Linked DNA regions of Cricetulus griseus. The protein of the gene in region 2 purifies or fractionates together with the protein of the main gene of each other region. This does not show direct contact. Links are inferred from orthologs where the notes say so. Each region holds a gene or a part of one and is shown on either strand. Other genes may lie near its edges.

What was found.
Region 1: the proteins of Prpf4 (region 2) and Cd2bp2 purify together in Homo sapiens (affinity purification with mass spectrometry; 3 studies listed by BioGRID and IntAct, with this or other methods). This does not show direct contact. The link is inferred for Cricetulus griseus from reciprocal best matches to the Homo sapiens genes PRPF4 and CD2BP2.
Region 3: the proteins of Prpf4 (region 2) and Tut1 purify together in Homo sapiens (co-immunoprecipitation; 3 studies listed by BioGRID and IntAct, counting the BioPlex papers as one, with this or other methods). This does not show direct contact. The link is inferred for Cricetulus griseus from reciprocal best matches to the Homo sapiens genes PRPF4 and TUT1.

What each region holds. Positions count from the first base shown.
Region 1 is NC_048596.1:73,577,102-73,584,747, reverse strand, and holds Cd2bp2 (CD2 antigen cytoplasmic tail-binding protein 2), read right to left. Parts: upstream 5,113-7,646; 5' UTR 4,958-5,112; intron 4,505-4,957; exon of another isoform or gene 4,499-4,504; 5' UTR 4,476-4,498; coding exon 4,398-4,475; intron 4,203-4,397; coding exon 4,067-4,202; intron 3,951-4,066; coding exon 3,793-3,950; intron 3,691-3,792; coding exon 3,255-3,690; intron 3,177-3,254; coding exon 3,070-3,176; intron 2,992-3,069; coding exon 2,881-2,991; 3' UTR 1,113-2,880; downstream 1-1,112. UniProt on the Homo sapiens protein: Involved in pre-mRNA splicing as component of the U5 snRNP complex that is involved in spliceosome assembly.
Region 2 is NC_048595.1:83,455,427-83,462,477, forward strand, and holds part of Prpf4 (U4/U6 small nuclear ribonucleoprotein Prp4), read right to left. Parts: intron 4,340-7,051; coding exon 4,153-4,339; intron 1,905-4,152; coding exon 1,817-1,904; intron 1,280-1,816; coding exon 1,200-1,279; intron 1,055-1,199; coding exon 961-1,054; intron 290-960; coding exon 195-289; intron 1-194. UniProt on the Homo sapiens protein: Plays a role in pre-mRNA splicing as component of the U4/U6-U5 tri-snRNP complex that is involved in spliceosome assembly, and as component of the precatalytic spliceosome (spliceosome B complex).
Region 3 is NC_048596.1:51,138,467-51,146,311, forward strand, and holds the start of Tut1 (speckle targeted PIP5K1A-regulated poly(A) polymerase), read right to left. Parts: upstream 5,113-7,845; 5' UTR 5,004-5,112; coding exon 4,922-5,003; intron 3,734-4,921; coding exon 3,543-3,733; intron 1,105-3,542; coding exon 789-1,104; intron 615-788; exon of another isoform or gene 584-614; coding exon of another isoform or gene 215-583; exon of another isoform or gene 200-214; intron 1-199. Other genes in the region: 60S ribosomal protein L35, read left to right, coding at 215-583; metastasis-associated protein MTA2, read right to left, coding at 7,516-7,681. UniProt on the Homo sapiens protein: Poly(A) polymerase that creates the 3'-poly(A) tail of specific pre-mRNAs. Localizes to nuclear speckles together with PIP5K1A and mediates polyadenylation of a select set of mRNAs, such as HMOX1.

The DNA of each region.
Region 1 (7,646 bases), on a different chromosome or scaffold from region 2:
TCAGGCAGCACAAGACCTTCCCAAATGGCTTCCAGCTTAGGACTTCGTAAGACATTAACAGTGCTAAAGAAAAGCATGGCACAACTTATAGCTCCAGCAGTCAAGGGGTCGAGACAGCTTGGGCACTGAGAAATAAACATTTTTTAAAGGGGTCAGTGTTTTCGGTCAAGGTATTTTCGGTCAAGTCAAACAACACAGTCAACCCCCAGGATCGGCATGACTCCCATCCTCTGTCCTTCTCATGTACAATATGACATGTGCGAGTGCACCCACACACAAATAAACGTAATTTTTAAAAAACCTTTAAAGGTTAGGGATGCAGCTCAGTGGTAAAGCAGTTGCTTAACAAAAAGGTTTGAATATGATTCTCCCACACCAAAAAAGACAAATGCCAGAATTGGGTTGGGCTAGCCCTCAGTGGTGGAATGAGCGTTTACCCAGCAGATGCAAATTCCATTCCACTCCAAGAATAGCCAGGCTAAACAAGGTAGACTTGATGGGGGCGGGGGAGGAGACAACCAACAAAACCCTCATATTTGGGTGGGTAGGGAATAAGGTTGGACATGAGAGGCATTGGGCAAGGGAAATGAATATAATTAAAATGCATTGTATGAAATTCTCAATAATTTTTTTAAGTCCTAGGTTCCATCCCTTTCATCGCATTCAAAAATAAAAAATAAAGGACAGTAGGAGAAAACCAGTAAAATCCAAATAAAATATGAAGCCTAGGTAATAGTAACATACCATCCATCCAAAATACAAACAAAGATGGAAGTAAGTACTTGGGTTGTTGTGGTGGTGCACACCTTTAATCCCAGAACTCCAAGCAGAAGCAGGCAGATCTCTAGATTTGAGGTCAGCCTGGTTTTTTACACAGTAAGTTCCAGGCCAGCCAGGGATACACAGAGAAACTGTATTTTTAAAAAAGGGTATACATTCCATGGTCATACCACCCTGAATGCTGTATCCAACCTAAGCAGGGCTGGGCCTGGTTAGTGCCTGGATGGGAGAACTACAAAGAACTCTGGAGAAGGTCTAAAGGGGCTCCAAAGTGGTAGTTGTTCCCCAGAGTAGGTGTATACTCATTTCCTTTATCAAATGACCAAACTGAAGTGGCTTAACACAGATTTATTAGCTCATAAGTCTAGAGGTTACAAGTCCAAAGTTGATTTCACTGGGTTATCACTGTTGCACTGCACTTGTCTGGCTACATGCAGCCCTGACACACACTCCTCTCTTCCATCTTTCAGATGGAGTCCTGTGCTCTCGTGCTGGGAGTCTCAGTTCCTTTTCCAGCATAACCCAGTGATTACAATGGTCTCAACCCAACAATCAAAGGTAATCTCCCAGTTTCAAAAATTCTCAATTTTGCTCAGCTTTGTGGCTTACACCTTTAATCCCAACCTCCTGGAAGTTTGAGGCCAGTCAGGGATCACAGTGAGACCCCATCTCAAAAAATTAAAAAAAGAAAAAAAAAATCTCAACTTCACGACATCTGCGCAATGTGCTTTCCTGTGCCACATAAAGCATAAAGTAATATTCATAGGGTCTGGGGTTCAGGGACTGATATTCTGCCCCCTCCTGGATGTCCTCAGTAAGGTACACTCAGAAAGTGTGTGTGGGGGGGGGGATCAGCTCTAGATGGGTCAAATCTGAGGAACCCAAAGAACACCTCGGGGAAGTCCTCCGTGTCTGTCTCACCAAACATTGTGAACACTCACCCAGGCTACGGACATGACTGGATTTCACTCATCTCTAGACACCAACTTTTCACTTCTAAGTATTTCTGAAAGCAAGTCCATCCAATACCACCTTACAACTAACATTAAGTAAATGTCTTACCACTAAAAGGCTTCTCAAAGTCAAAGAAACTGTGGTCTCGGCTGGCAATAAACTGGGTTGAAGGTGTCTGATCAAACACCCCCAACCAAGCCAGGGCCCCTATGTAAGTTCCTAGCCTGGCACAGGGTACCCGTCATGTGCAGGTGGCATGGGCGCAGGGCAGCACTGGTACGAGTGAGGCACTGCTTTTACGTGTCTGTCTGCCACTGCACTTGGGGCTCCTGGAAGACCAGTCCAGCAATGTTCCCTCAAGGCACCATCCCTATGCCAGAGATGTGGGAGCCTGGGAAATGTTAAGCTGCAGGGCCTGAATGGCCAAGGAAGAAAAGGCTTTATGCCAAGAAAGGTCAGGGGAAGCAGCTCACTGGTTCTGGGCCAGCTCTCTAATTTACTGTGTGACCTCCAGGAAGTCACTGCCCATCTCTGTGCCTGTATAATGCATGGTGGCCCAAGTAGCTTTGAAGAGCTACTAAGTTCATGCTTCACCTAAGAGCTATGGGAGCTACTGCAAGGGAAGGAAAAATCAGACTAGGGAGAAGAGGAGAACCCATGTTTAAGAGGCCTCCTGAGTGTTCTCAATAGGATCTCAAACTTTTCCAAATGTCCCAGCTGCAAAGGGGTTACTAGGCCAGAGAATCTGAGGTCCTAAAAGCTGAAGATCAGCAAAACAAGGACTTGCAGGGGAGATAGGAGAATAGAGTGATTGAAGGGAATTTGACATGGCAAGTCACAGGACACCTGACGGGCCCTACTACTGCCACCAAGGGCGGAAAACAAACCGAGGTGGTCCAAGACACCAGAGAGAAGCATCTAAGGAAGGAGGAGACACTCAAGGGCCAGGTAAGCCAACAGGAGCTACGGAGGAGCCCTGGCTTCTGGCTACCAGCACATCAAGGCCCTGATGCACACTCAAGGCTTTTATTGGGAAAGGGAAAGTGGCTGAAGAGTAGCTTCCAAGATCCTCACTGCCCAGGGCAGCTGGGGCCTCCTCTGCCAAGTCCAAGAAAAAGGGGCTACCACACTGGGCCCTTAGCAGGTTCACGTGTAGAGATCAAAATCAATGCGCTTGGAATTGTAGAACTGACCACCTGGAGGGTCCAGCTTCCGGCAATAAACACCATCCGGGAAGTAGCCTTCAGTCACCCAGGTCTGTAAGAAGAGAGGACAAAACTTAGGAAAGATGACAGAAGTCGGGATGGACAGACAAGACAGGAGGAAGCCACTGACCTGCATCTGGGCACTGGTGAATGGTCCATACAGCTCAGCATCCCCCGTGTTCTCCCACTTATATTCCCACATCACATCCATTAGACCATCTCCCGCTGACTCTGCTTCTAAGACAACAAAGACGTATCGGCCTTAAGTGCCCAGTCTCCCACTGGCATTGCCTCTCCTGTGTCCTAAAAGCTTACCTCCTTTATGCGCAGGGGTCGGGGTTTCCAGTTCTCCCTCTGTCACTTCGTCAGCAAACATGTCCAGGGAGGGTGGAGGTGTGGGGTCATGGGATCCCTGAGTCCGACACCCCAAACCCTTCAGACACATAGCCAATCGTTCCCTTGTTTCCTGGTATACACCAAGGTTGCCTCGAGCCACCATTTGATCAGCCAACCCAGAGAGCCGGTCTAGGCGCTGTGGGGAATTGGGCCGTCCAGTCCCCTTGCTGTCCCCTTTGCCTCCTCCTCGGGCCCCCAAACGCCTAAGTGCCCCAGCCACTGTCTCTCTTGGCAACAGCAGCTCCAAAAGTCCCTCCAGGAGGGCTTGGGCACTCATCGGAGTCTGACCCAGGCTGTCTTCCTCCTCTGAGTCTGAAACCTGGTGCTTATCAGGTGGCCGCTCCTTGATCTTCACCTATAAGGGAAAGATAATTATTATTTCCTACAAACTTCCACCAGGGCCCAGGCCCAGCACCTGCATTCCCAGGCCTCAGCCAGGACAGCTCCTGGGCCACACCCAGTCAATGTTGTCCAGCCAGCTGTCTCGGATCTGTGCATCCTGGTTCAGGAAGTAGTTGCCATCAGCATCAAAGTGGCCTTCCTCCATCTCTTCCTGCAGGTTGAAGGGTGTGATCCTCACACCCCCCTCACTAGGGAGAGTAGCTGCTTCCTGACCTGCACCAAAGACATGGGGGCCCCATGCTAGGCATGCAAAAAAGAGACAGGCACACTTCCCACCTCCATAATCAGACTTGCCCTCCAACACAGCTAATGTTTTGGGAATAACTCACCTTCTACATCCTCTGAGGCCAGGATATCATACTTGCTGGACCCTTCATCATCATCATCCTCCTCATCACTGTCTAAAGAGTGTTTGCCTTTGAAGCGGCTCCCAGGACCCCCTGCTCCAGCCACAGGGTCCACCAGCTGTGAGTAGAAACCAGCAAATGAGAAAGGCAACCTACTGGCGAGCTTCCCAAATATTCCAGGATCTGTATCCAAACTGAAAACCTACCAAACCCAGCGCACCGGGGCAAACTAACCCTTTCTTTCGCTTCTCAGCTTTCCTTCCTTTTATTTCTCCTCAGTCCTCCACAGACATTAGGAGTCTGACCATCTCACCTTCTTTTTGGGGACACTGATTTCATCTTCATCATCCTCATCTCCCACACCTTGAAAAGTCACTTTCCTCTTTGGCATGACTGGCAGAACACTTCCTCCAGCTGGACCTCGGAAAAGGATACGGAGTAAGAAAATTAGGTAAGGAGAGCCGGCCGCGAGAGCGCTGTGGCACCACATTTTCCTTGGTAAGCGCCAGGTCCCGTTTGAGCGAGGAAGGGTCACTGAACCATCTCAAGCGCTAGCAGGCGGGTCGTCGGGAATTGGTTTGGCAATTCATTCAGAGGCCCTGACGGGCGGATCTCCGCCCCCGCGCGGACCCTGTGCGTACTCCCACGCAGGAAAAAAAGCCAGGCTCCCCTACGTCACCACTCCCCTACCAGTGCGGAGCTACAGGGCTCCCCCAGCTCCCACCCGAGTGCCCACAGAGGCCGGTCGGACCCAAGAGCTGGCGCCCTGGTTGCTTAGGACCCCCAGTTCCACGCAGCGAGCTGCTAGACCATGTCAGAGTCGGCGCACAAATTAGAGAGGAAGCAAATTCGCAGGGATTCGAACAGTCTTACCGGCTGGCGCTCACCGAGGAGCCCGGGGTCAGGCGGGGAAAGAAAGGAAAGATGCTTTCGCCAGTATTACATCCGGGGCACTCGCCTCCATAACCCGGAAGGAGACTGTGGAGACCTCCATAAGGCCGGAAGCTGCTTCACTCCCATCCAAAAGACTGTCGGAACGGGCGGATGTGTACATTTGGTCAAGACAGTCTCCGCAGGAAGTGACGTAAGACCCCAAAAGACTCGCGTGAACTCCTATACCAGCCCCAGCCTTACTTAGCTTGAGGATGGCGGCAAGTGTTTGTTATTCCTCTGAAATGGAGACTCAGGTGAGGACGTGACGCTCTGTCTGCTTAAAGAGGTGCTGAAGGCCGGGCGGTGGTGGCGCACGCCTTTAATCCCAGCACTCGGGAGACAGAGGCAGGCAGATCTCTGTGAGTTCGAAACCAGCCTGGTCTACAGAGCTAGTTCCAGGACAGCCTCCAAAGTCACAAAGAGAAACCTTGCCTCAAAAACCAAAAAAAAAAAGAGGTTCCCAAGTCCTGGATGGAGGGACAAAGGCCGAGCAGAAGCTGTGGGCTCCAGTCTGACTCTCTATATAGGGCTCTTTGCGCCCAACGGAATTCAATAGAAACCCTGCTTTCCAAGCTTGACACAGTCCCAGCGCTCGGGAAATAAGCAGGACTGATTGTCGCGAGATTGAGGCCAATCGGGGATACAACGTGAGATGTCTCTTTAAAAAAAAAAAAAAAAATTCTTGCTTTTCCTGAGTCCTGTTTCTGGCTGTCAATACTTAGGCACTTTCCAAATCTAGCTCCTTTTAGGACCCAGCCCCATGTCTGTTCCCATTCAATTCCTTCTTTCTGCAGGGGAACTATAACAGGAAGTAGCATTGGCATCCGAGCAGTACCCAGCCAGAAGCCCATAATGCCCTACTCTGGGGTACATCCAGTTGCAAGGTGAAGTCTACCCCACCCCTCAGCAAAATGCTAAGGTGATGGAATCCCGCTCCTGCAGAGGTGGAGCCAGGTGAGATCTTCCTGTCTAGTGAAGTCTAGATCTGGAGCTCTTGAGAACAACTCAAAGCCAGAACACCTCCCCCCCAGGCTAGATAGCTCAGGTGATCCTGCAAGAGCTGGATGAGGGCGGCCAGATGGACCACACCTTTCTCTTGCAGGATTTTCTCCATTCTGAATCACCATGAAACTTGGAATTGTGTCCTCAGTTTCTTCCACGGGCACAGAACACAGGTCCTAGCCCAGGAGGGCATCTTGCTACAGAATGCCTGAAACACCAGCTCTGGGCACTATGGTGCATCCCAGAGGGAACTTCCTCTTCTACCTGGAGACCACACACCCCTGAGCCTCATCCTGCTGAACTGCCATGAGGAGCTCCACCTTAGGACCACAAACCCCATGCCTTTACTATCCTGATCCCTGGGGAGAAAGCAAGGGGGAGGGCTGGGGGGCTACAAGCTAGCCATAGAAAACAAGAACTGGATGATTGATTGTGTGCACCTGCTGAGATGAACTGAAGGCAGCCAGTCCACCCTAGAAGCCCAGTACCAGGAACTGCACCAAGCTGCTGACCAAGTAGCTCAATCTGAAGACTGGCTTTACAGCCCTGCTTAGCCTCCCTTTAGCTTCTAGGAGTACACAAGCAAGTTGGAATGTTCTCAGTACTCTGAGCTGTGCAGAGGGTCCCAGGAGGCCCCAAGCAAAGCTGCAGCAGGAGCTGGACCACTATGCTTGTTGATGAGAGATGTAGCAAGGGTCTGGATATACCTGCCAAGATCAGCAGACTGCACCTATTGGGACTTAAGACTTTCTTCCTGCCCCCTTCCCACTCCCTTACCCCAAAGCCCTCTTTAAATAACAAGGCAGGAGACAGATCCAGATATAACAGCAGGTTCTTTTTCTGGTTCCTCAAAGCGCCAAAAAACCACCACTGGGATGGGACCATGACAGAAGAGAATGTAAACATTGGGTTCCACCCCCCGGACTCAAGGGAAGACCCTTACTCAGAGAGGGGCTTGATGGCTGGAAAGGAACAAAATGAAAGACAGGCTTCCTGATGAGGCAGCAGAGAGGCCTGAGCATACAAAGCAAGTGTGTTAGGAGGGAGAGCAGGACATAGATGGGAAGGAAATGGAGGGCATTTCCTTGCATGTCCCCTTAAATAAACTGGAGTACAGGAGCACTGTGAAACACAGAACAGAGCACCCCACCCAGGCCAACCTGACCTTCTGTACATAATTACAACACAAGGATATCCAGGAGAGAAAAAAACAGCCTTGGCCCCCAGAAAGACAGTGGGGTGACAGGCAGGGCCCCAAGACAAGAAAAGGAACCTAGCTCCACCATCTAAGGGAAGCCCACTGGAGTGTAAGAATCTGTAACTGCTAACTGCCATTGCCAAGAGTCACCCTGTGACAAAAGGCAAATTAAGACAGCACCCCAGAAGGAATTCGTAGGAGTGACAGAGACCCAAGCTGGGCCTAATTGGACAAAAGAGTCTCCAGACTTGGTCACTGCTACCCTAGGAAATACAGCTGTCCCATGCACTGTGGCTGTCCTGGCCATGTAGGGATCAGCAGCTGGCAAGGAGTCAGGGGAATCAAGCCACTTTCCTCAGAAAAGGGAAGCCTGCCAAGGGAGCTGGGAAGAATACCCCTGCCAGGCCTGCTCCTGACTGAGGGAAAAGG
Region 2 (7,051 bases):
ATCTCTGGAGACCTTTGTGAGTAGTAAGAACTGCCAAACAGCTCCATCAAAGCGTACAAGTAGGTAGAGCCATGACATCTGCCTCATGAGAAGCAGAAGAAGAGGATAGAGGGAAAGATCTCTGAGACAAAGACAATTTTTCTTTCTGAACCCATGCACAATTTAGGAAAACGTTATTGTAAAATGAAACTTACCAACAAGCTGTGGCTAGCATTTTAGAATTGGGACTAAAGTGACAATAGGAGATTGGCCGATCATCTCCAATCTGACTGCAGAAATTATTCAAAGACTAAAAAACAAAAACAACAAAAAAGTGATCATTTAAAAGGCTAATCTAAGATTTTTTGGCTTTTCCACTTTTGGGAAAATATGGGGGCTGAAGGGGATGGGAGTGAAAAGGAGGGGGCAGCAGTTATACCTGTCAGTTTAATTCACCTCAAAACTTCTTCATGCTTTGCTGATATTAGTTGATACTAATGTTATTGAAGAATGGAATCAAGGCTTATCTGGAATGTTACTTGTTTATCATAGCCTCATCACCTCCACAAGCCCTAGGGTTTCTGTGTAGCCCTGGATGTCCTGGAACTCACTCTGTAAACCAGGCTAGACTCAATCTCACAGAGATCCACCTGCCTCTGCCTCCTGAGTGCTGGGATTAAAGTTGTGCACCACCACTGTCAGTGTACCTCATTAGCTTTTATGTGAGCTAAACACAAAAAACCAGAGAAAAGCAAAGCACAGCTTGACCTACTAAAAGGGAGCAGTCAAGAGCCAAAGAAACATTTGTCTCTGTGAGCACAAACACTGAATGTTCTTGTCACCACAGCTGACAGTGCCTTCCTCCTACATCACTGACCTACCAGGTAGCATGTGGGTAACTGCCTTTACCTTCCTATGGGTGGGGCCAAAACAGAATCTCTAATAACGTAAGAGACTGGACAACAGTGAAGAGCATCTTACCCGGAGAGATTTATGCAGCTCTTGCATCTGGGAGGTTCTGGTTGTCTCAGGAATCTCCTTATGGAGACGGGCCTCCTCCAAGCGTTTCATTGCCCTGTGACCCATAAACATCATCATTAAGGAGCTATCAACAAGGGTCTGTACACTACTTCTAAATCACATACAATAAACACCACCATCATAGAGTCTATCCCCAGTCCCTGAAACGACAGACTTCTTTCTTCTGGACCTCTGCTTACCTGGGGAGTGAATAATTAGCAATCCACAGTCTGGCCACCTTTAGGCTATTTGGCCCTTCATGGTACCAGGTTTGCTGATACTGAATAGGAAATAACAGGAGAAATGTTAGGTCTGAAGCACACAGACTCTCCCCACGGCTGTTCTTAATTGTAATTGCTCACAAAGAAAGTGAATTGTAACAGAATGAAGCAGCCACATGTCCTTTCTATTAATTACCTTTTGTTTTCTTTAAAAACATTTATTTAACTATGTGTTATGTGTCTATGTGGGGGTATGTACATATGCACGAAGACGCCATGGAGGCCAGAAGATGGCATCAGATTGCTTAGCAGTGGTGGGCTGCTGGACTCTTGAAGAGCAGTGCACACTCTTAAGGGCAGAGCAATCTCTGCAGCCCCTACTTTTTTCTTTGATGTCTTACTAGTTTCTGGTTTCTTACTGAGTCACATTGAGTGCCTTCTTGAATGGAGAATTTACAGCACCATTCACAGTTGTTTAAGAATTACCAATTCCTGCCATCAACCATTCCAGAATGGCAGAACCTCTAGATACCTCTCCTCATCCTAGCACAGCATGGCACTGGAAAGAGCTAGTCTCCAATTTCTTCACATTTTACCTCTTCTTTTGACTTCTTAGATTTCTCATCATCTTTTTTTGTCTTTTTTAAGGCATCAGTTCCAACCACTGAGAGAATATTTCTTAACCTGTAACAAAAAAACGTCAGAAATCAATATGGATGAAATAAGACTGTTAAAAGGTTCAGTAGGACCCCATCACCACTTGTGAGAGAGATGTGTCAAGATCCCTGCACAAGAATGCCTACAACTGCAGGGAGCAATGAACCTTACCTATACTGTGTGTCTTTCCCAGCTCACATATTATGATAAAGTTTAATTCATAAATTAGGCAAGGTAAAATGCTAGTAACAAAAAACCAGATTTTTAAAATTATATGAACAGGGTCTGTTTTCTTTCTCACTCTCAAAATATCTTATTCTACTGCACACTAATGGAAAGGCAGCATAGACAGCAAGGACACAGAAGACAAAGGGACACAGCTGGATGGTGTGGGATTTCAGTACATCACTCAGAATGGTGTGCAATTTAAAATTCATCAAGTGTTTACTTCTGGCATTTGCCTAGTCAGTATTTCGGGGCCTCATATGATTATGGATGAGAGAAACCAAGGAAAAAAGCAAGACCACAAGCAAAGGGGAAGGCTGTGTACCCTTTATTCTTCCCTCTCAGACCCCCTCCACTCCTCTTTATTTGAAGGCTTTCTAAATGCTGCTATCAGCAATTATTCTCTTCCATTTAGAGTCAACTGGTATCTATACACAGCTGTCACTTAGTCTCTAAGGACAGCTGGAATCCACTTAGTGCCATGCTGAGCAAGGCACTAATTCAGGGGCTAAGTATATTTAATGACTAAGAATAGTTGCAAGCTGTGCATGGTGATGCACTCGAGAGGCAGAGGCAGGTGGATCTCTGAGTTCCAGGCCAGTGTGGTCTATAGAGTGAGTTCTAGGACAGCTAGGGCTAGATAGAACAATCTTGTCTTGAAGAACAGGTGGGGAAAAATAATTCTGAAGGAACTAGCCTTGAAGGCACACACCTTTAACCCCAGCATTTGGAGGTAGAGGTAGGTGGCTTGTCCTGAGTTCTAGGCTAGCCTGGTCTACAAAGTGAGTTCCAGGCCAGTCAGTGCCACAGGTTGAGATCCTGTTTCAATAAAATAAAAATTAAAAGCCAGGTGTGGTGGTGAGCTCCAGCCAGCCAAGGCTATATAGTGAGTCCCTGACTGAAAACAACAATAACAAAACTAAAACTAAAGAATAATTCTGAAGAGACTACAGAACACAGTCCATTATACCAGCATTAGACAGCAGTGAGCAGAATGTGAAATAATATGGAAGAAGTATGGAATCTAGGCTTGGGAGGAGTGTGGAGCAGGTATCAGGGAAGGCTTTACAGAAAAGGCGTTGTCAAGTGCTCATTCAGGCCAAAGAGTCAAAACAGAAAAATGACAGTTGAGGCAGAGGGTTAAAGAAATGTAAAGTCAGGAAAACAGACTGAGCTTAGACCCACAAATGGTTCAGTAGAGCTGGAATATGGGATACAGGAGGAGGCTTGGTGACTGCCAAAACTGGTATTCAAGTGGGGGCTGGGTCACCAGAGCAATTCACACTACACATAGGAGGGTCTGCAATGAGAGTGATATGGCAACAGGTGGGAGAGTGAGAGTGTCATGGCAACAGGTGGGAGAGTGAGAGTGCCATGGCAACAGGCAGGAGAAGAAGAATAAAGGCAGAAAACCAGACTTTAGGATCACAGCAAGCCCAAGCCACTGAGGTGGCCTGAGTTAAAGTAGTGGCAGTTGGGACTCAAGGCATTCATCTTGATAAAGGACAACAGACATGGCAGATGAAAGAGACAAACAGTAAATTAAATATACCGAGTCAGGCTGGTGAGGTGGATCAGCAGGTAAAATGCCTACTGCCAAGCCTGCTGACTTGAGACAGAACACTGTGACACATAGTGAGAGAGAACCAACTCTCACAAGTTGTTCTGTGACCTCCACTCCTGTATGAAGGCATGTACATGTCCACACACACACAAATAAATAGGATTTTAAAACGTATCCTTTAAAGAATGCTTCCTGCTCTTCCAGAGGACCCAAGTTCAGTTCCCAGAATCCACACCAGGCAGCTCACAAGTGCCTCTAACTCTAGCTCCAGGGGATGACACCCTCTTCTGGACTCCCAGGGTACCAGAACTCATGTGCACAATACTACACACAGATGCACACGGATTTACATAATCAAAAATACATCTTAGAAAACAACAAACCCCCAGCATTTCAAACAAACTTCACAGGAGAGCAGGAAAGGGTTTGATAGAACACATACCAGAACCTTGTCATTAACAAAAAAAGTGTAACTATAAAGGATACCTTTCTCTTCGTTCAGCAGGGCCTTCTCCAAAAAGTGTGATAGGTTCTCCCAAGGCTCGAAGGCAAGCCTTGACCTCTGAGTCATCCGTGGAAACATTGATTTGCCGGGCTCTCTTTCTTCTTTCAAACTCTGCCAAGACTTCTGCCTGCCGCTCACTGATGTGCTCCTCAATTTCAAATACTTCCCCTATGCAAAGGACAGGCAACATGGGGGAAAGAAACAATCAGTCTCTGTATCCTAGAATATAGCTTCTTATATTGGATAGAGTGCCATAAGGTATGTAACTGTGGGGCTGTTGAAGAATTCAGCAATATTGAAGGGTTTCTGAAGATGCAGTGACCAACAATTAATCCAAAATCAAATTCAAAACAAATCAGGGTTGCTTTTGGCAGGGCCTGTGGGCCTCATCATGAATCTTTGCTGCAACCTTGGTTTTGAGCATGTGCAACTCTGCAATGTACTTACAGTCTGTCATGCCATGCGACACTAAGGAACACTACCTCAAAAGCCTGTTATGAATTGTAATATCCCTTTTTTGGCTTTTTTGAGACAGGGTTTCTCTGTGTAGCCTTGGCTGTCCTGAAACTCACTTTGTAGACTAGACTGGCTTCGAATTCACAGAGATCCGCCTGAGTGCTGGGATTAAAGGTGTGAGCCTGGCCAAATTTCCACATTTTTACAAAGTTTGCTTTTATAGAGACATGATTCAGCTACGGGAAAAAAAAGATTTAATTTCCTCAGCATCAAGTATCAAATAGTTTTATCTCTCACTTATACTGTATTAAAATGTTTGATTATTTAAAATTGTTGCTTGGCCAAAACAGAAAAGAAGGATGGTGAAGAGCTCAGTGTGGCAGTGCATGCCTATAATATCTGCACATGGGAGGAGGCAAGAAGACCAGGAGATCAATGTCAGACTTGGCTACACAGTGACTTTCAGGACAACATGGGCCATACAGACCTTGTCAGAAAGAAAGGAAGGGCCAACAACAAAAAAAAACTCACTATCTGAGTTGCTGATTTAAATAAATAAATGAATGAATGAATGAATGAATGAATGTACCATGAAAAACATTTAAAATGCTCCATGTCTTGCAATATTAAATATTCAGGCAAGATTTAATTCTTTATTAATAAATATGTCTGAAGTGTAAATCCAATTAATCTTAATCAATAAAACCCAGGAGCCAGATAGTGGGGTAAAAGCTGGAAGATCAGAGAACTAGCAGTCCCCTTCCTCTGTCCAAAAGGGCTCAGATCTTGTCTCTACTCCACCTTATTACAGCCTGTCTCCACCTCCTGAGTGGTGTGTAGACAGGATCAGCTCAAGCTATGCAACCTAGGATGCTCCCTGTCCTTGTGACCTTCCTGCCTTCAGGACATGAGTGCTAGGATGACAGGTGTGTGCCATCATGCCAGGCAAGTACTCATCACTAAACTTTACCTTTCTGTGCTAATCTAATTGCTTATGACAAATATGCATAACTTTATTTTTAAAATATAAAACTCTTAAGCTGGGCATGGTGGCTCCCATCTGTTATTCAGTACAAGGAGGGCACAGTAGAAAGACTGCCACAACTTCTAGGCCAGCTTGAGCTATAGTGGAGATCTTGTCTCAAAAACCAAAATTAATCAATACATTTCTTGACGGTAATATAAAGAGACAAACCTCAACAGTATACAAGGGAAAAAATGTAGGCTATAAAACAATTTACACATCATGGTACCATTTATAGAAGAAATACATCCAATTCACAATATAGATTTTCTACCTCATAGAGACACATGTTGATTTTTTAAAATCTTTTAAAATTACTGTCCCTTCATACTAAAAAACATTATTTTAATCTAGGTTTGAAAAAAAAATATAACTAGAAAGCTGGGCAATGGTGGTGCACGCCTTTAATCCCAGCATTCAGGAGCAGTCCAGGGCTACACAGAGAAACCCTGTCTTGAAAGGTAAAGACACAAAGAAACAAACTAGAAAAGTAAAGGAGAGAATACTATAAACAGCTTGAGTCATGCATCAATGCCAGAACTACTCTACATCTCCCAAAGACAAATACAACTGATGAATCAAAACACCCACTGAAGTTTTCAAAGATCATCAGTAACTTGTATCAGGAACTGTATGAAATATAAGAAAAACACGCTCTGGATAATGCCAAGAAGCGAAAGCCAAAGACTCCATGGTAAGAACAGAAGAGTACGGATGTGTGCATGAGCAGATGTGGAAGTCAATGTTTCCTCAACATTGGGATTACCACCACATTCAGTTTTAAAAAATTTAATTATGTACTTTATATATGATGCTCTATCTGCATGTATGCCTGCATGTCAGAAGGCATCAAACCCTTTATAGATGGTTATGAGCTGCCATGTAGTTGCTGGGAATTGAACTCAGGACCTCTGGAAGAGCAGCTAGTGCTCTAAACCACTGAGCCATCTCTCCAGCCCCTTTTTGTTATTTTGCCTTGTTTTTTTCAGAGATGAGGACTAACCCTTGTGCTTGCTGGGCAAGTGCTCAACCACTGAGCTAAAGCTCCAACCCCTCAGCCCTGTCCCCCAAACAAAACATGGTTCCAGGGAATCAATCTCAAGCCCTAATGGTTGCACAGCAAACCTTTTGTCACCTGAAGTAGACCCCCAGGCCAAGAATCGAAGGTTTTGACCCTATAAATCTTAATGTTACTTGGTCTGGGAAGGTGTTCATCTGAAAATTGGATCATTAAAGGTGCAGGGCAGTGTAGACGTGGTTCTAGTACCCGGGAGGAGGCAGAAGGCAGTTCAAAGGCAACTGACTAGCCAAATGTGTGGTTCAGTGGTGGAACACTTGCCTAGCATGCAAAAAAACCCTGTGTTGGAGTCCCTGGCAGTTAAAAAAAAAAAAAAAAAGTA
Region 3 (7,845 bases), on a different chromosome or scaffold from region 2:
ACCTGAGTTCGATCCCCAGGACCCATGTGGTGGAAGAAGAGAAGTAACTCCTGAAAGTCACTCTTTGACCTCTGTAAGCATGTGTGTCACTTGTGCACACACATAATAAAGAGGGATAAAAAAGCATGTGTGTCACTTGTGCACACACATAATAAAGAGGGATAAAAAAGACAGGGTCTCGGACCAGGAGACCTCAGCGGTGAGCAGCGCAGCTATGGCCAAGATTAAGGCTCGGGACCTGCGCGGCAAGAAGGAGGAGCTGCTAAAACAACTGGACGATCTGAAGGTGGAGCTGTCCCAACTTCGTGTCGCCAAGGTGACGGGCAGTGCTGCTTCCAAACTCTCCAAGATACGAGTCGTCCAAAAATCCATTGTCCGTGTCCTCACCGTAATTAACCAGACTCAAAAAGAAAACCTCAGGAAATTCTACAAGGGTAAGAAGTACAAGCCTCTAGACCTGCGACCCAAGAAGACTAGAGCTATGCACCGCCAGCTCACCAAACATGAAGAAAAGCTGAAGACCAAGAAGCAGCAGAGGAAGGAGAGGCTGTACCCGCTTCGCAAGTATGCGTTTAAGGCCTGATGAAAAGGCAATAAAGTGCAAGACTGGCTGACAAAAAAAAAAAAAAGACAGGAGGAGCCAGAGAATCAAGGACAAACATCCTGAGGTACAAAGACGGAAGATCAAGCAAATGAAACACAGCCAAGAGAAGACTGAGGGTTCAAACACAGGGGCAGGTAGACCAACAAGGTGTTAGGAAGAGCTCAGCTTTAGAGCAGGAACTCACCAGGGAAGAACTCTGTGAAGACCTCCTGCATCAGGGCCACAACAAGATTCCGAAGCTGCCGCTCAGCCTCAGACAGCTCCCTCAGTTCTACAAGCTTTACCATCTGTGCCTCTACGTCTGTGGCTTCGGCCAGTGCTTGGGCCAGCTGGTGACTATTTGAGTCCACTCCTTTGGGAGACTTGGAGGCTGGGCTCTGGAACTCCTTCTGCTCCCTCGGCCGGACACGCAGCCCATGTTCCCCCAGCCTGTGCTTGGGCTGTGCTAAGACAGCCTCCCGAGCAGTTATATCTCCCATCTCCACGATGGCAAACACCCCCTGGCAAAACATACAAGAGCAAGGATCATGGTTTGGTAATTGACAGTAGAGGAGAATCTTTAAAATGGGAAACAACCAATATACTGGAAGTATTACTTGCTGTTTTTGTAAAAGGTTTTTGTAATATACTTAGATGAGTAATCTCCACTCTTATCCCATACATTTTTATTCCTGGCTGCCAGTTAAAATCTCATCTGTTGCCAGGCATTGGTGGTGTACACCTTTAATCCCAGCACTTGGGAGGCAGAGGCAGGCGGATATCTGTAAGTTCGAGGCCAGCCTGGTCTTCAGAGCAAATTCCGGGGCAGCCACCACTGCCCAGCTCTAGCTCTTTTAACAATAAGAATCCATGGCAGGGGGGGTCCATATGTGGAATTCTGGAGAGATGGATCAGTGGTTAAGAGCACTGCTGCTCTTGCAGAGGACCTGGAATTCAGTTCCCAACACCGACATCAGACAGTCTGAAACCAACCAGCTGCAGATTCATACAATCCAGTGCCCTCTGCTGGCCTCAGCAGGCACCTGTACTCAACATATATACATAACCATACAGAAAACCTTAAGAAAAAAAAAGATCCATGCTGGGGTAAGGTGCTTGCCACCAAACCTGACCACATGAGTTCAGTCCCCTGAGCACAGGACAGACTCCTACACACTGTCCTCTGATTCCCACATGTGCACCATGGGCCATGCATAAAATAAAAAATTTTGTGCACACATAAAAATTTTGCCGGGCATTGGTGGCGCATGCCTTTAATCCCAGCACTTGGGAGGCAGAGGCAGGCGGATATCTGAGTTCAAGGCCAGCCTGATCTCCAGAGCGAGTGCCAGGATAGGCTCCGAAGCTACACAGAGAAACCCTGTCTCGAAAAACCATATATATATATATATATATATATATATTTTTTTTTTTTTTTTTTTTTTTTTTTTTTTTTTTTTTTTTTTTTTTTAGAATCCATGTTGGCTCAGAATGCAGCTCACTGGTACAGAAGTTGTCTACTGTGTAGGAAGCCTTAGATAAAAGCCTTAGCACCAAACTATAACAAATTTTGTAAAAACTCTGCTACTGCTAATAAACTCTAATAAAGCCTGTCTTCAAGGAACTTACCATCTAGAATTAGCAACAATATGACAGCTAAGGCTATTATGATTTGGATGAGCTGAACAGAGCTGAATTAAATTTTTTTTTTTTTTTGAGACAGGGTTTTTCTGTGTAGCTTTGCAGACCAGGCCTGCCTCTGCCTCCCGAGTGCTGGGATTAAAGGCCTGTGCCACAACTGCCAGTGAGATAATTTTTTTTTTAAGGTAAAACATTAGCAGGAGCAAGGCAAACATGAGTGCTTATGGGTAAAAGTGCATGTCCTTTTATATCATCTGTTCCTATAAAAAGGCAGTCTATAAAGTAATTAAGAAAATAGTGCCAGGCTGGAGAGATGGCCGAGAGGTTAAGAGCACTGGCTGCTCTTACAGAGGTCCTGAATTCAATTCCCAGCAACCACATGGTAGCTCACAATGAGATCTGGTGCCCTCTTTTGGCATGCAGACATACACGCAGGCAGAACACTGTGTACATATAGTCAACTACTTTTCAACATAATAGTGAGGAAAGAGCGGGCTTATAGATAAATGATGCTAGGACAACTGGACAGTCATAAGCAAAACAATGTGGACTTTTATGTCATATCATATACACACAATTGCAGTTGTCTCACCAGTACACAAGAAGTGATTGATAAAGGCTATGAGGATGGTTTGGAGATAGACAGAGGCCACTTTCCTAGCATTCAAAAGTCCCATGTGCAATCCCCTAGAACTGAAGGAAAAAAAAAAAAGGGGGGGGGGAGGGATGGCAGTTAGCAGGCAATAGGTCAAGAGCCTTGGCCAAGCCTTTTTTTTTTTACTATTTTTTTTTTTTATTTAGTATACAGTCTTCTGCCCGCATGCCAACAGGGGGTACCAGATCTCATTCAAGGTGGTTGTGAGCCACCATGTGGTTGCTGGGAATTTAACTCAGGACCTCTGGAAGAGCAGTCAGTGCTCTTAACCGCTGAGCCATCTCTCCAGCCCCCACGAGCCTTGGCCAAGCCTTTAACTCCAGCACTCAAGAGGCAGAGGCAGGTGTATCTCTGTGAATCCCAGGTCAGCCTGGTCTACAGAGCGAGTTCTAGGACAGGTTCCAAAGCAATACAGAGAAACCCTGTCTCGAAAAAAACAAACAAAAAAGACACAATGTTTGGTAAACAAGTCCTCCATAATTAACTCTTGTGAATGGATTAAATCCAAGGTGGCAGAAGCTCCCAAAACTAAGCTATTCCAAGTTCTGAAATGTCTACCAAGGATGAGCCACATTAGGAAACTGCCAAAACAGGCTGCTGGTTTCTCTCTTTTATATAAGGCAAATCCATCTGACAAATTAATCCCAAAGACACTCACTCTACCTTGTCCTTGTCCATGACAACATTGGCCACAGGGCCAAAAGTCTGGAAATACTCCGAAAGCTGAGCAGCACCCACATCCCTGGGAAAGCCACTGACAAACACACTTCGAAGTCCCTGGGCCCTTCTGGTAGCTCGTAGTTGTACAAGATCCCGGTGTTTCCGGCCTTTCAAGTGGGCATCTAGGCTGGGTCCTGTAGAGACAAGTGTGCGTGTGACATAAGCATATAAAGTAACTCTTTGTATACCTGTCCCCTTGCTCTCTTCTCTATACATAGAAACCCTGTTCCTTCAAAGACAAAGGGTAACATTTGGACAGAGTTTGATATTCTTCCCCTTTGTCCACACAGTGCATTCTCTAAGAGATTTCCAAGAGGGAGGGCTGCAGTGCAGGTAGTTCTTAAGCCAATGGTATGTGTTAAGCAGAGCGACATCTGCCCACTGTAGAGGAATTAACAAGCAACTTGTCCAAGGTCATATGTAGAAGTAAATAAATTAGGGCCCTGACTAATCCTCAGAGATAAATAGCAGGTATTCCAAATGTATCCTTTTCCCATATATGATGGAAATGATCTCGCCTACCACATAGGTATCATTCACAAACAGCTCTGGCCATCTGGTATGTAGTAAGTGTGGGAAATTAGCTATTAGTATTATTTTATCATCAGCTGCTTAGTGCCATGAAAGTACAGGGACAAGGCACTGTCCTAAATTCCTGGCTTGCCCTGATGGGGCAGGGGGAGGGGAGAAGGGGAAATGTCATTCACAAAGAAAATACCAGAAGACCCTGTTTAGGGGAGATCACATTCTAGACATCAAAAGTAGGATCTGAGATGTCACTAAGTGTCTTTTGGTGTCACAAAATCTCAGTCTGTCTTTCCAAACCCTTTTCCTCACTGGCACCTTCTGCATTCACTCAGGCCACCATGTTTCACTCATCCTCGCCTCTGGAGAAATCCTCCCCATTGGGAGTCTCCAATTGAACTACTGCCTTCTCTGTGATGCTTCAGCTCTGTAAACATACCCATGGTGTACTGAAACTGTCTCAGTGCAGACAGTGAATTCCTGAATCCCTCCCTTCCTGATTCCAGAGACCAGTAAAGCACCAGGCACAGAGCTGATGTTTTAAAACATGTGATGTTTAAAACATCACAAAGGTGATGTTTTAAAAGGAATAGTGAAAGTTTCACTATGGAGCTTTTGCATTGTGAGAAGAACCGGTGAGAATTTCCCCACTCTCCGAATGCCCTGGGACGTACTGAGTGAAAACAGAGGTGGATGACCCTAGTGCCAGCAAAAACTATAACCTAAATAACTCTTTCACTAGCACCTAAAAAGTGAAAGCCTGCAACCTCCCCCTTCCCTCACTAGCCACCGCTTACGGTTGGCTGTAGTAATGTCGCAGAGACAGCAGCGAAAGCGACCACGAGGCAGCGATACGACATCCGAATCCTCCGCCTCCATAGCGATTCTCCGGTATGGGCCGCCTACAACCTCTCCCGCCACCAGTCACTACCAGAACTCACAGCTCAAAATCGCAATGTGTGGGGAAGCCACTTCCGCCAGTGCTGCAGGAAGTGACGCTTGTGTCCGGCGCCAGCATATTCGTCCAGAAACCGTGTTCTTAGGGTTAAGGGTTCCTATTAAGTCAGTTTTAAGAAAGGCCGCCCACCGACGACGCTTATTGGTCTAGGGTTAACTAGTTGGCATGCTCCGTTCCATTCCAGCGTTGATTGGCCCGAAGAATTGTGAATATTCATTAAGCAGCCACAAAGATGGGCTTGCTTCTTGACAGCACAGCTCTTTCTTTGCCAAGTGGTGGCATGCGATCTGCCTTCACTTCACCCCAGACCTGCACCTCAATCTTTTATTTCACCCTGCGAGTAGAAGCGGAGGGTGGGTGTTTCCAATCCTTTGCCTTGTGGAGCTCAGGTACTCCCACATCCTCAGGTCAGTTCCTTTCTGTACAACTGGATCCTCGACAAAACAGTTTTCAGCGCTGTCCGCCCCCTACTCCCTTTCACTTGGACTCAATGAGACCAACAGCAGATGGCTACTATCCCAGTCAAAGTCTGCTCAGCAGTTGTAGCCTTAATGAAGTATATTAACGAGGCCTATTTCAAGGCAGTACAATGAAGAACAGACTACAGTGCTAAGAGATACACATTTATTCAAGGAGGTGGGAGGGGAAGTGCTACAGATCCCCAGTCAGGCACATGAGTCAGTCTCGTAGGTTCAGGAACAAGAGAGGATATGAGAGCTGACCACAGTGACGATAATGAAATGGAAAGGCTATCAGGTGGGTTCACCAGCTTGTTCTGTGATTATCAGGAAACCAGTCTGTGGCCTTGGCTGAGCCATGAGGCCCTTCTATCTCTAAAGTGCCTAAGGAGAATTGGTTGAACTAACCAACTGTTCTAAGGTGTCCCTCCTATTGTACCCTGCTCAGGTATCTGATCCTTACACCAAACCAAAAAAGCAGATGAAATCAAAACAGAAAACAGTACTACTGCACACTCAACAGTGGGGGTAGGTGCTAACACTAGCTGTACAAATCCAGCAGTCTGTATATATATACCACTAAGCTTGAACTGTAAAGTACTGCAGTACCACACCCACAAACACTAAAGTGAAATGCATCTTTGTTTTCAAGACAGGGCTTCTTTGTGTAGCCCTGGCTCTCCTGGAACTCCTTCTACTGTAGATCAAATTGGCCTTGAATTTAAGAGATCTGCCTGCCTCTGACTCCCAAGTGCTGAGATTAAAGGTATGTGTCAACCACCCCCACCTGGTGAGATGCATCTGACCCTGGCTGCTAGAATGCTTAAATGAAAGTGAAGGGCTGAGGATGTAGGTGGTGGCAATAGTAGAGCACGTGAGTAGCATACGCCAGACCCTGGGATCAATTTCTCAGCACCAAAAAGGAGGGAGAGTAAAAGTGGCTAACAGGAAGACATTCTAACCCCCATCTGTGCAGAGTCAAAGCCATTAAAGAGCTCTGAATGAATCTAGACCAAGATGCTGCTTGGACTCCAGCCCCAGTGGGAGAAGCCCGAGTCCCACAAGGATAGTGGCACAAACCACCCCACAGCCCGGCTGCATGTCTCATAACGCTGCTCCTAGAACAAGCGCCATCTGTACCTCTTTCATTGTCTTTTGTCCTCTATTTTCCCTCTCAAAGACACCCCCAACACACACACCACACACCACACACACCACACACCGCACACACCACACACCGCACACACCACACACCGCACACACCACACACCGCACACACCACACACCACACACCGCACGCGCGCAGCAGCAGCAGCAGCAGCAGAGAACAGCTGAGCCTGAGGGCTGAAGAAAACAGCTTTTTATTCTTCACTATAAGAACCAATTACAGAATCGAGGTTAAAAAACGGACAAAAAGATCTTTATTTCTGAGAATTGGCATATAAAAGGCAGAGGGGGGAAGGGGAGGGAAGAAAGAGCGAGCATGGGCTGGGGTTGGATGCCACCTTAGAGCCCTCAAACTAATTAGCAAAGTCCGGACACCGGACAGTAAGAGAAACCCCCAATTAGAAAATAAAGAGAAAAAAAAAAAGGTAGACATGGCAGTGCACTCTCCCTTCCCCCTGCCAGGTACCACCACCTGACATGTTTACTCTTCCCCTCCTCCATCCCTTTTACAAAGGGAGGTAAAATTTTTAAAAAATTTAAAAAACCCTCCCCCCCCCCAGCCCAGCTGTCCAAAACAACTGTGGGTCCCAACCCCCAAATAGGGTAGGTAGACACACAGGCAAGTTCCTGTAGGCTCCCATCACAGGCATGGAGAAGCCCAAAAAGGGGGAGTTACTGGCAATCACCCCAGAGGGTGTCCAAGTCCTCCAAGGACACACCAGTTTCAACCCTCCCTCGATCCTTGAGGTTTGTATGCCTTGGGCACCTACCCCTCTACCTCTCATCCCATCTCCCTCCCCTAAGATGCTCAATCCTCCAGAACAATGGGCTCATTGGTGCTGGCAGGATGTGAGGGTGCTGGCAGAGGAACTGGGGGCCGAACTGCCATCAGTGTTGGCTTCACCTTCAAGGGTAGGTTGGGCCTTCGGGCAGCTCGGCGCATTTCCAGGTGAGTTAGAGCCTTCCTTAAAGCCCTGGTCAAAAAGAGCAAAAGAGGAACAAGTAGGGGCTCCACAGTACACTCTACAATTTTGACACCCGCACTCTTTTCTGTGCTATCTTTCTCAGATACCCCTACTTCCAATGCACCCAACTTGGATTATCAGTCTCTGAGCCCCTCCCATAGTAGACTGCTCCC